Oreochromis niloticus: one gene and its partners. The main gene of each other region encodes a partner of the protein of the gene in region 3 in a complex. Links are inferred from orthologs where the notes say so. Each region holds a gene or a part of one and is shown on either strand. Other genes may lie near its edges. The genes, in order: gins2, mcm4 and gins4.

What was found.
Region 1: the proteins of gins4 (region 3) and gins2 are in contact, whole or in part, in a crystal structure (PDB 2E9X), measured with the Homo sapiens proteins. The link is inferred for Oreochromis niloticus from reciprocal best matches to the Homo sapiens genes GINS4 and GINS2. Residues at the interface, in NP_115712.1 of Homo sapiens: Pro23, Ala24, Ile27, Glu28, Glu31, Trp34, Met35, Lys38, Phe39, Gln57, Met61, Leu73, Lys74, Ser76, Ile77, His78, Met80, Glu81, Arg84, Ile85, Tyr87, Val88, Ser91, Asp166, Asp168, Ser169, Tyr170, Val171, Phe172, Val184; in NP_057179.1 of Homo sapiens: Met1, Glu5, Phe8, Leu9, Glu11, Lys12, Phe21, Leu23, Asp24, Lys25, Ile26, Tyr27, Leu28, Ile29, Gly30, Trp47, Leu48, Asn51, Leu52, Arg55, Lys57, Phe135, Gln139, Glu140, Ala141, His142, Ala143, Lys144, Leu145, Asp146.
Region 2: gins4 (region 3) and mcm4 share a complex: the UniProt entries of both Homo sapiens proteins name them as parts of the CMG helicase complex. The link is inferred for Oreochromis niloticus from reciprocal best matches to the Homo sapiens genes GINS4 and MCM4.

What each region holds. Positions count from the first base shown.
Region 1 is NC_031965.2:23,289,666-23,293,416, forward strand, and holds the start of gins2 (DNA replication complex GINS protein PSF2), read left to right. Parts: upstream 1-1,040; 5' UTR 1,041-1,168; coding exon 1,169-1,258; intron 1,259-2,484; coding exon 2,485-2,599; intron 2,600-3,171; coding exon 3,172-3,271; intron 3,272-3,380; coding exon 3,381-3,507; intron 3,508-3,751. UniProt on the Homo sapiens protein: Required for correct functioning of the GINS complex, a complex that plays an essential role in the initiation of DNA replication, and progression of DNA replication forks.
Region 2 is NC_031982.2:18,517,349-18,521,099, reverse strand, and holds the start of mcm4 (DNA replication licensing factor MCM4), read right to left. Parts: upstream 2,330-3,751; 5' UTR 2,223-2,329; intron 1,567-2,222; 5' UTR 1,562-1,566; coding exon 1,498-1,561; intron 1,403-1,497; coding exon 1,244-1,402; intron 1,159-1,243; coding exon 995-1,158; intron 912-994; coding exon 810-911; intron 718-809; coding exon 622-717; intron 443-621; coding exon 347-442; intron 1-346. UniProt on the Homo sapiens protein: Acts as a component of the MCM2-7 complex (MCM complex) which is the replicative helicase essential for 'once per cell cycle' DNA replication initiation and elongation in eukaryotic cells.
Region 3 is NC_031977.2:13,065,492-13,069,242, reverse strand, and holds the start of gins4 (DNA replication complex GINS protein SLD5), read right to left. Parts: upstream 2,228-3,751; 5' UTR 2,049-2,227; coding exon 1,950-2,048; intron 1,856-1,949; coding exon 1,769-1,855; intron 66-1,768; coding exon 1-65. UniProt on the Homo sapiens protein: Required for correct functioning of the GINS complex, a complex that plays an essential role in the initiation of DNA replication, and progression of DNA replication forks.

The DNA of each region.
Region 1 (3,751 bases), on a different chromosome or scaffold from region 3:
TTTGTTCGTTTTATCTCAGCAAATTTATTTGAGATGTGTGGTGTGAATGTTGTGAGGCCGTTTGTACAACCCAGGAAGAATCCTTTGGATGGATTTGTTGATCCCAAAAGGGAAATTACTTCAGCAGCAGAAAGAATAAAAATAAAAACAGTATAATGAACAACAGAAATATTTTTAAAAAGTACGATAGGAAAACACCGAAGGCTGTAAAATGTGAAAATTTCATGTAAAACTGTGATAAAAAATGAAATATGAATGAAATAGAAAACATAATAAGACTGAGGTTATGTAAAACAGAATTCTGCAGATTGGTAATGCAAGAATGGTTCTTTATGGCAACAAGGTTGAATAAGTCTGAGGGAGAATGAGCTCTGTAGTGTAGAAAGGAGCAGGTGTGATGGGTTGTCCATGATGTTCAGTGACCTCCTGTCTCTCACTGACCCAAATGCCTCCAGATAGACTGATGATCCTTCCGTCAAAGCTGGCCCGGATGCTGGCACAGACCGTTAGAAGTTCTTCAACATCTTGCTGAACACACTGAAGGATCTGGACTTCCTCAGAAAGTAATCTGTTGATCCCCTTCTTGTACACAGCATCGCTGTAGGTTCTTCAGTACAGTCTGTCACTGAACACCAAGTATCTGTTGTTAGCTGTCCACTGATTCAGCCTCCTCACCCACGATTCTAATGGGTTTAGACCCAGTCACTGACAAAAACATCTTTGTTCTCACATGAAAAAGGTCACTGCCACCTTTCTTGTTATTGCCTGGTGAATGCTGCCATCTGGTGGAGTTTAGTTGCAACTGCTGTCATTGTCACATGGCCCACTTCCTTCTTCCGGGCCAGACAAAGCTAAACTAAAATTTAAGGTATGGTCAGCTTCGTCACGGCCAGGCCCGCGCCTCAAGCGTAAGTTAACAATTTTAAAAATGCAATTTCCACCGAGATAAGAGAAATTATACAGAAAAACAAAAAATAAAAATGTGACGTGCCGTAAAACGGCACACAATAATGTTCACTTTTGCGATACTGCGCTTCCTGTTGATGACGTAGTTGGCTTTTTCTTGCCTTCATTGTCGGTTTATGCTGCCTTCAGCGCGGGAACGGTTTGTAGTGCAGTTCCAGTGGGAAGGAAGTTTTTGAACACACATACAAAAAAACAAACAGATATGGATCCTTCGGAGGTCGAGTTCCTTGCGGAGAAAGAGATGGTGAAGATAATACCAAATTTCAGCCTAGATAAAGTCTTTTTAATCGGGGTAAGTCAGCCGTGTCTGTATTTAAGCAGCTGGTTTTTGACCAGATACTGAGACGTTGACAGTCACTGTAGAAATATTAGCTAAACCTTGTGCTAAAACCTTGTGTTATATCACGACACACTCAGTATAAAGCTGAAGGTATGTATGTATGTAAAGATATTTCTGTTTGAGTGGATCACTTCACTCAGCGACTGATTAAAACACGCACAAAAAAGCTTCATCTCTCAAACTCCAGATGGTGACTTTAACGAACTACAATCCATTTTACATAAATATAAGTCGCTCCAGCTAAAATAAAATATGTCTAAATATATTTCGAAAAAATTGAAGCTCCAATAATATTCGGTACCGTATCTTTGGCCTTTCAAAAAGTACCCCGAACGATTACTGATATATTATACTGCAGTTTTTAGTATCGATCAAGTAAATACAGGCTCAGCGCTGCAATAAAACGCACTTTTCAGCTTTATGTATTTTGTAGTTTGTTTGTTTGTTTTAGATTATTTTATTTTTTGGGGAGACTTGGAATGTAACTGTGCCTGTCTGTAAAACACTTTGGGTCGACTTCTGTTTTAAATGTGTTATATAAACAAAGCAGACTTGGCTCCAAAAATCGCGCATTAATGTGTTGACTGTCACCATGAAGAGTGTATGAGGTTTAAGAGAATTGTTGAACATTTTCCAAACCCCCCTTTTTTCTTTTTAAATAATAAAAATAAATAACAGCTAACAAGATCCTCCTGCAGCATGATGTGAATTTACCGACAGTACACTGTACTGTCTCAAGCTCACTTTGAGCTTGAGATCTACGGACTCAGTGGTCTTTTTTTGAAATAAACAGCTAAATACTCATCTTTTTAAACTTGCTTTTGGTTGATTTTGATTTTGTTTTAGCTTCTGTGAAGCACTTTGTGATTTTATCTTAAAAGGTGCTATATAAATAAAATTTAACTTACTTACTAGAGTAAAGTCATGGAATATTTTTCTGTATTTTTTACATAGCTGGCTGCACAAGAGAACCTTTGTTATTCATCAAGCTCTCAGGATGGCTCGTTTGATGTAAATCAGATTGTAGCTTGTAGTTACTGCTGTTGGAAAGAGACATTGTTTATCTTCTAGCAATGTTTTTTATTAATCATGAAAATGCAAATGTGTAGCTTTCCAACTTCACTGAAGTGGGGAATGCATTGTGCTGCACGATAAAATATGTGTATTTGTGTTCTCAGGGAGATCTGGGTCCCTTCAACCCTGGACTACCTATTGATGTTCCCGTGTGGCTGGCTCTAAACCTAAAACAGAGACAGAAGTGTAGAATTATTCCTCCTGAGTGGATGGATGTTGGTAAAGTTCAAAGTTTTTCCTGATGCGGTCTTTGCAGGTGTTTGTTTCCAGGCATGAACTCAGGTTTTTCCTTTTAATGCTGACAGGATTACTTAAAAATGTTTCACATGAGGGTCTTTCAGTATTTTGAGTATTATTTCCTTCACATTATAACATTTGTAATCATTACTAGCCTACCATGTTAAGCCTAGACCTGCCTTGCCATAACTTTGACTGTAAATAGTGCTAAAATATTTATCTCCTACGACTATTTTTCCAAGTTTGCATTAGGTAAGTAAAAAAAAAATGGGCACAAGAAATGCAGTAAGATTGTTCTCTTAGTTGTAAGAGGTAAATTATTCAGATTTTGTGTTAGTTACAAATGCAAAATGTGTAAAATATGTATGTCACTGTTGGTCTGTATGCTGTAAGAAATGCTGAAAAGAATCAATTCATTGGTGGTTTTATTTGGAATTTCTGTTTTGCTTCTCCTACAAAAGTCAGCTGAAAAGAGAGGAATCTTGAAAATCTTTCATAGCATTTTTGTGTGTCGCTGCAGTTTGCTGCTGTTGACATTTTGCTTCACTGTGCAGAGAAACTGGAGGAGATGCGAGACCTTGAGAGAAAAGAGGATATGTTTACACCTGTTCCCAGTCCTTACTACATGGAGCTTACCAAGCTGCTACTAAACCAGTGAGTCATATACAATTAAGTAATCCACAGAAATACAGCCCTCAGTACTGTTGTGTGCTTGGTGTATGTGCCGCCTCCCCTTAAAAGAGAGGTTTCTGTGTTTCTGCAGCGCGTCTGACAACATTCCTAAAGCAGATGAGATCCGTACACTGGTCAAAGACATCTGGGATACTCGCATTGCCAAGCTCCGCCTGTCTGCTGACAGTTTCATCAGTCAGCAGGAAGCTTATGCCAAGGTAAAACTGATCACATGTAGGGTGTTTAGTATTCTCTGCTGTCACTTAACCATTGAGTTTTGAACATTTAATTGAGTTGAAAACAGATGCAAAGTAAGTAGAAATACAACAGCATAATAGACAGAATTACCAGTTCCACATAGAAGCACAATGTGCATTTATTTAGTATCCCTTCAGCTTGTGGACCCATTGCATATTGAGGTCCTTAAGAAAAAGTGTCATCACCTTAAGTTCCCCCAATTTA
Region 2 (3,751 bases), on a different chromosome or scaffold from region 3:
CAAAAAGCAAAATGACATTCGTTACAATTTGCTTCTGTATTTGTCTTTGGATTCATTCACCTATCCATTTGTTTTCTATATAATCTTGTTTGTGTTACATTGTACATCACTTCTCCCTTTGCATTTGCATCCACTTATTTTATTTTTATTTATTCATTAATTTATTCAAGACATTGCTGTATCGCATTACTTCATTATAAAAATCAGAAGGCTGCCATTTCACTCATCAAGGGCTCAAGTTTTCATCCTCCGTTTAATCCGTACTCACACATACACCGAATGAGGGAATGAAAACAATGGTAAAGAAAAAAAATAAACAGATGATGGCAGATGAAGCGAGCTTTACCTGTGGGTAGCAGATGAGCTGTCTGTAAAGATCTGCATCAAAGGACTGCACGTGGCGGCAGTTCACGTTCATCACAGGATCGCCGACGACGCTGATCTGTGGGACGAGAAGAGAAGCACGTTGTGTGATATTACGTCTTTGAATACAATCCCGCGCAACCGCCTCCTCCTGTATTCTCTAATTTCCTGGCTATTGTTCATCATTCAGAAACACCATCATGCAGTGCGAGTCTGACTTAAACACGTTTGGAGCAACACAAACAATAAAAATTGCACCTCCTCCAGCTTCTGCATGTATAACGGCTCGTTCAGGTCCAGACCAGCGTTCTCATCTTCAGTGGAGGTCGGGTCAACAAACCTCTGGAGAAACCTCTGGAAGCAGCGGAACGCAAAGCATGCCAATGTTAACTCATGGACTGCCTACATGAGATTTATTATGGGATTTAGCTGCCTCGGCTCAATACCTGAAACTTTTCCTTGCAGGTGCCGACATTCACATCAGTCCCCCAGATCACCAGCCTCTGCCCGGCGTTCGACTCGCTGGCCACGGCACCATCTGTGCTCGGCTGAGAGAAGACAGTGAATAGTTAACTTCTGAGGGTTCGGGCTTCATGTGAGCTCAATACATGACAAACACAAGATTACTGACCGGCTCAGAGTGAAGATCGACTTGGGGAGCCTTCCTGACCGATCCCAGATCAGGACGCTGCCTGGCTGGTGTGCCCCGCACTCCGCTCCGTGGGGTTCCCTCAATCCTGGAGCTGGGGGTCCCGTACATCAAGGGGGAGCTCATGTCCACCTCGTTAGGGGGCACTGTTAAAAGGAGGCAGATTTATAAAACAATCCAAGAATCCAAAATTTGAGTCCACAAGACCACAACAACTCAAACACGTCATACCCGAAGGTCGGGGGCTGGAGAGCAGAGACGTGTCCTGGGGTGCTGCAGGACTGAGCACGTCCGTGGCTGGGGAGGTGGGCATCGGCATCAGGTCCCCGGTGGAGGAGTCCTGACCTCTGCGGCGCTGAGAGGGAGGCGAGGTGGGGTCCTCGCTGCTGGCTAAAGTCGCACAGACACGAAGAAAAGTAGGCAACGGTCATCATACAATCACAGGAGGTCCATATGCAAAAGGTTGGAGCAAGTGGGGAACTTACGTGTGGGTGGATTGGTGTTCCTTCCACGCTTACGGCCACCAGGGGTTGAAGCTGGAGAAGACATTGCTGCTGGGAAATCAACAAAAGGTGACACTCAGTGAAGGAAATGTAATAACACTTGTTACATACTGTCGCTCTGGCTGTGGGACATCACTGATGGTGATGGCTTCAAGTTTGACTGAGCATTTGGAAAACTGACATTCACAGATGTGGCTGGCTGAAAAACTTTAATTATTTCCTTTTTGTTTTATTAGATCTTTTTTCAGCTTTGTGGAGAAAATGACATGAGATGGATATAAACTGTGGGCAGCCTGCTTTTCGCTACTTGGATACTTGGATCCATGTTATGAGTGTGTGCTTGAATCGCTTCCAGATATCAGTCAAACAGCAAGAAAAGTTCACTTAACTATATAAATGACACTTCCGGCACGCTGATATGCTACACTGCGTGTCTTTTTTAGAAGTTTTGAAGTGTCTTATTTTCACTAAAGCACTAACTGCATTAAACCCTCGACCTCCATTTGACATGTGGCTGCAGAGCACACAATAAGCTGATCCTCGACTGCGATGTTTTAACTTCGATTAACATTAAACGTCAGCGTAAAACAACAAAACACCTTCGTGCACGTTTAAGTCAACCTGATTCGCGTATCACGCTTTCACGAAACCACCAAAACTACCGACGTAATAACCTAAAAACTATCATTATACATGTCTCTTCTTACCCCTTCTTGTGTATACGTCCGAGCGGAGAAGATGTGGCGCGAAACTGCGGGTGACGTTATTTTCGCGGGGAACTTTGGGCCAATGAGAGGCTGGGATTGTCTTTCTTTTCTTTCCGGTCGATCCCTTCACCGAAAAAGGGGGGTTCTTGTCCAGCGTTTACTTATCCGGCTTCAGTTTAGCATCTTGTAGACTCAATAAACAAACGGATTAAATAGGAAATAAATAAATAAATGAACTTTTATTTTTTAATTTTGATATGTCAAATAAGATCTGCGTTTCCTGTGCGCTCATGTGCTCCTTCAAACCCTCAATCGATTTGGTTTGGCCCAGCAGTAAGGGACTTTTTTTTTGCCCCTGCCCTAATCTTTATTGTAACAATCCAAACAACACGCAAGTGTGAAACCGCCTCCCAAATACAAAATGACAGCAAATCCGTGACAGGCTACGGATGTAAAGATGTAGCATTTGAATTAATACAACAGCAGAAGCTAACCGGGAAATACTATTCACCCTCTTTTCCTAGTCTACATGCAGGATGTATGTTCACCCGGTTATGTTACAGCGGTGGTTGTACTGGTTTTCACTACAGTCAGAGGTACTCATGTAGGCCAGTGGGTGAGAAGAAACAGCTCTCAGTATGATGAGGTCCAGCGCATCCCACATTTTTGTGTTCACAGTAATGCACAGAAGTTTGTGTACACTCATTGTGGCCATGACTGTCATGATGATTTGGGGTTTTTAATGATTTCTTTAACTGATTTTTTCCCCTGTGTTGAATGATTGTACAGCATAAATCTTTAATGGCTCCACATGCACTCACTTAAATCTTTTTATAACTGGTACTGAAGGTTCTGCAGTGTCTTTTAACTCAACAAGGAAAGGGCCTATTAATTTCCCATTGTTGATTATGATCGACTATAAGTAGACAATGCTGACCAACGGAGAATCATTGATGGCTACCAAAAGCATCTGGGTGAGATGCAACTTGACATTTGACCAAATATTAGTAGGGCTGTATAGTATATCTGAGTCTGTATGTATACATTTGACCCTGGAAAATGAACAACTCAGAAATCATTAAAAACCCCAAATTCACCATGACATCAATGCCCATGATGAGCATATGCAAACTTCTGACTACAGATGTAGAGAAGGAGGACATGCAGAGGTTTGGCGTGACAGAGGAAGATGCTAGGGACAGGGTGAGATGGAGGCTGATGATTCACTGTGGTGACCCCTAAAGAGAGCAGCTAAAAGAAGAAAGCCTAAAAATAATTTGAATAATTTTACATGAGTTTAATACATTAAGTTATGTCATATAAAGCTAACAACTACAAAGCATCTGCACTTTTTGTGCTGGGTAAGCAAGTTTATGGCTTTGATCATGTTAGCACTTTCACCTGTATCCTCTCCATGAAGCACAGATTCAGATGCATTCATGTAGCTTTGATCTGCTTCACTCACAGTGAAACAGGTGGTGTACTCTGCACTGAGTCAGCTCCACCCTGACCAAGGAGAAGCAGAACTC
Region 3 (3,751 bases):
TCTATTTCCATGCGATGGATGCTGGCCTTTGCATCGCCTTTCTTCACCCGCTGCAAGTTGGACTCCTGTTGGTGACAAAACTGTCAGAAATTAAAGGGTCCTTTTATTCAGGTCTACTCAGAATGACCAGAAAAGCAACAGCCCTGGGATATGTTTGAATATCACAGTGTTAATACCATCCTAATCATCTGAACTGAATGAATCTCCACAGCTGGATGTATAGTAATGTAATCAAGGTCCTACTGACAGGCAGCAGCTTTAGATAGTAGTTTGCCACAGAGCAAACCACATTGCCCTGAATTGTTTGAGATTTTATTTTGAAGCCACCACATTACATTTGACATGACCATCAAAGTCTTGATATCAATTGCAGGTCTTCCTATAGATCAATTTATCCATACTAATAAAACTAAATCATAAGAAAACCAGCAATGAAGTGCTGATCTGTCAGGTGACAGAAGAAATTAAAACATTTTTGTAATAATTCAAGTAAATGAACAAAAAGCAGAAATCTCAGATATTCCCGAATTCAACTTCTATATTTTGAACATTTGATGATGTTTTTTGACCCACTGAAAAGTAAATTACTTTCTTTAAACTCCAACTGAAAAATAAATTAATTTGTGTGTATAAAGTGGCATTTTGAGCTCTAGTGAATTGTAATGGGTATTTTTCTACAAACCTTTGCTTTTTATGGGTTAAAAAAAAGCAAAATTCACAGTTTAGAAGAGGTGGAATGCACCTACTTTTGTTTGTTGTTTGTTAAGACACTTAACATTGACCTATGAATCATCCGAGCACGAAAAGGTACCGAATTCGAAGGAAAAGCCAGTAATGCGTCTACAAAAACAACAGACAACTTAGCAAAGAAGCTATTTTAACGTGTTACTTTAGGGACTTTGCTACTGGGAGCCTGTAGCAAAAAACACATTCTTTGTTTTCAATCCTTTAGTTGAATCTATTAAAAATGCCAAAGAAAAAAAACATTTTACAGGTATGAAATTATATTTCTACACCAACAAGATGATTCTCACTGAGCTACTAACCATTGAGAATCAGCTTGGTATATCTCAGCATGTGTGCCATTAAATAAAATTGTGCAAACTGGACAGGTTCTTTTCTGAACAAGTCATTTTTCAGCATGGCAATGATCCCTAACACACTGCCAATGCAGTAAAAGCATACCTGGATGGGGAAAAAAAACAAAAAAAACCCCCCAAACATAAAAAACAAAAACAAAAAAAAAAACCCCACACAGTGGAACACTATCAGTCATGGATTGGCCTCGACATTATTGAAGCAGTGTGGGATCATGTTGACAGAGAACAGAACAAAAGGCAGCCAACATCAAAGAGCTTTTAATGTCCTTTAAGAAGTCTGGAGAACAATTCCTGAAGATTACTTAAAGAAATTACAAGAAAGCTTGCCCGAGAGAGTTCAGGCTGTGTATAACATAAAGGTGGTCATACGGAATATGGACTTTCAAGCTCATTAGAATTGTACCAACTCTTTTGCCTTACATTCTGCATGTCAATTTCACTACATCATAGCAAAACATAAAGAAGTGAGAGGTGGCTCGAGACTTTTGCACAGTACTGTATATAGTTTTCCCTCTGCTGCATTTGAATCAGTCATGCACATTCTCATAGGTTGCAGTCCTTCGCGTTTCAGTTGCTGTTTTGCAATTCAGAAACTCAACTATAACCATGCATGCTGCTGAACATTAGAAACAACCCACACCGCAGGAGGTATTCCCCGGGTAGTTTACCATATGAGTCAGCTGCTCCATCACACACTCCACCACCTCTGATTTGTTCTCCAGCAGCTCCGGTGAGAACTTCTCATTTAGCCAAGCCTGTGGGCGACACACACGGACACAACAGTGAAGACGGTGCTGAATATCTAATAGAGGTGAAGAGTCTGCACGTCAGGGGAATAATCTGGCCTACTTCTTCCAGTTTAGCGATCAGCTCCGCCGGGGTCATAACATCCTCCTGGGTGTCATCCTGGTTGAAGTCGCTGCCGTCATCAGACAAAGCGTCCGACATGGTTTTCAGTAAAAATACAACGTTTCACCAAAACGCAGAATATCTCTTGAATTAAAAATAAATTAATAATAAAAACAGAGCAATTAAAACTGAATAATATGAGGGAAAATGTACCAATGCGACTACTACTGTCACAGCAGCCACAAGTTAGCGGAAAAACTCGTTGTTTATTCGCGCCACTGGGATTCTTCTCGCGAGATTTACAATGTGCCCATTTACCTGAGTTTAGCTTGTCAGGCAAGCCTTCTCGTAGGCTTAGTATAGTTTTTATTAATAATTGGACGGAGCATTCAATAAAAGACAGTAAATTAGTTTCTAGACATTCAGGAAGGATATTGATCGGGGATGTTGAGGATTTTCTGCTACAGGAGCGCAAACTTTAAAAGTTCAATGAGCCCGGTTTTTCCTGAAATACAAAACTGAGGGAATCTAATCTATATAACACGTGCTGTGAATACGAGCAATACACTCAAAATATTGCATGTTGCTGAAGATTGTTGTAAGTAATGCTAGAGTGGTAGAAAGTGGTGGGAGAAGCATTTCTATGGCGTTTTCACGCATCATAATTAGTGGTTATGTTATTGTGCTTATATTGCGAGAGATATCTTTATATAGATTTATTATATATTTTATATATTTACAGATAATTACTGCTAATACTATCAAATATATAACTCAAGCATTAATTATGATCTAGAAAAACCTCATAGAAATGTTTCCTATACCACTAATAGACATAATATAATAGACACTATATAAAAGACAGTGACAGCACAGGGTACGGCATATTCACTCAAGAAATACCAAAAGATTGTGATTATTACAAACACACAAAGAAATAACTGATGCCGTAGAAGTCAGTTTGATTTCCTAAGTCAGCATGTCATTCAATTTGATAAAATTTAATTGCCAAAACAACAGTTGCCAGTAAACAGTAAAGGTGCTTTGTATTGTAAAGCAAAGACTCTAAACCAATAAAAAGAAACTCAAACAATCAGATGAATCATTATGAGCAAGCGGCTCCCTTTTAATGGGAAGAAACCCCAGGCAGAACCAGGCTCAGGGAGGCCGTGCCGTGAGTGGTCGGGGATGAGTGGGGAGGGAGGAAGCAAAAACGACACTGCGGAAAAGAGCCAGAGATTAAAAATAACTAATGATTAAATACAAAGCAGCATATAAACACACAGAGTGTGAATAGAGTTGAGTTAAGAAGAAATGCTCATTGCATCATGGGAAGCCCCCCAGCAGCTTAGGCCTATTGCAGTTTAACTAAGGGAGGGTTCAGGGTCACCTGATCCAGCCCTAACTATATACTTTATCAAAAAATGAAAGTTTTAAACCTAATCTTAAAAGTAGAGATGGTTTCTGTCTTCAAAATCCAATCTGGGAGCTAGATCTACATGTTATCTGGGCTCTTAATCTGCAGTTTCATTAGTGTGAATTCAGAGATCATCTGCTTCACTCATTGCAGCTCTTTCAGACAGCCTTACTGCAGTATCTCATTTGTCCTATTTGCTCCTTCTCGTCACTCCTCATTGCACTTGCTTCAAAGTTCTTTCATATTTTTTCCCTGCACTGCAGCCACCATAGTGATGTTCAGTGTTGCACGCTATCAGCATCCTTTGAACTTATCTGGACTACATCAGACCTGCAAGGTTGCAGCTCTCACCACATGCCTCAGACAGCTGCAGTTTCCTTAATGC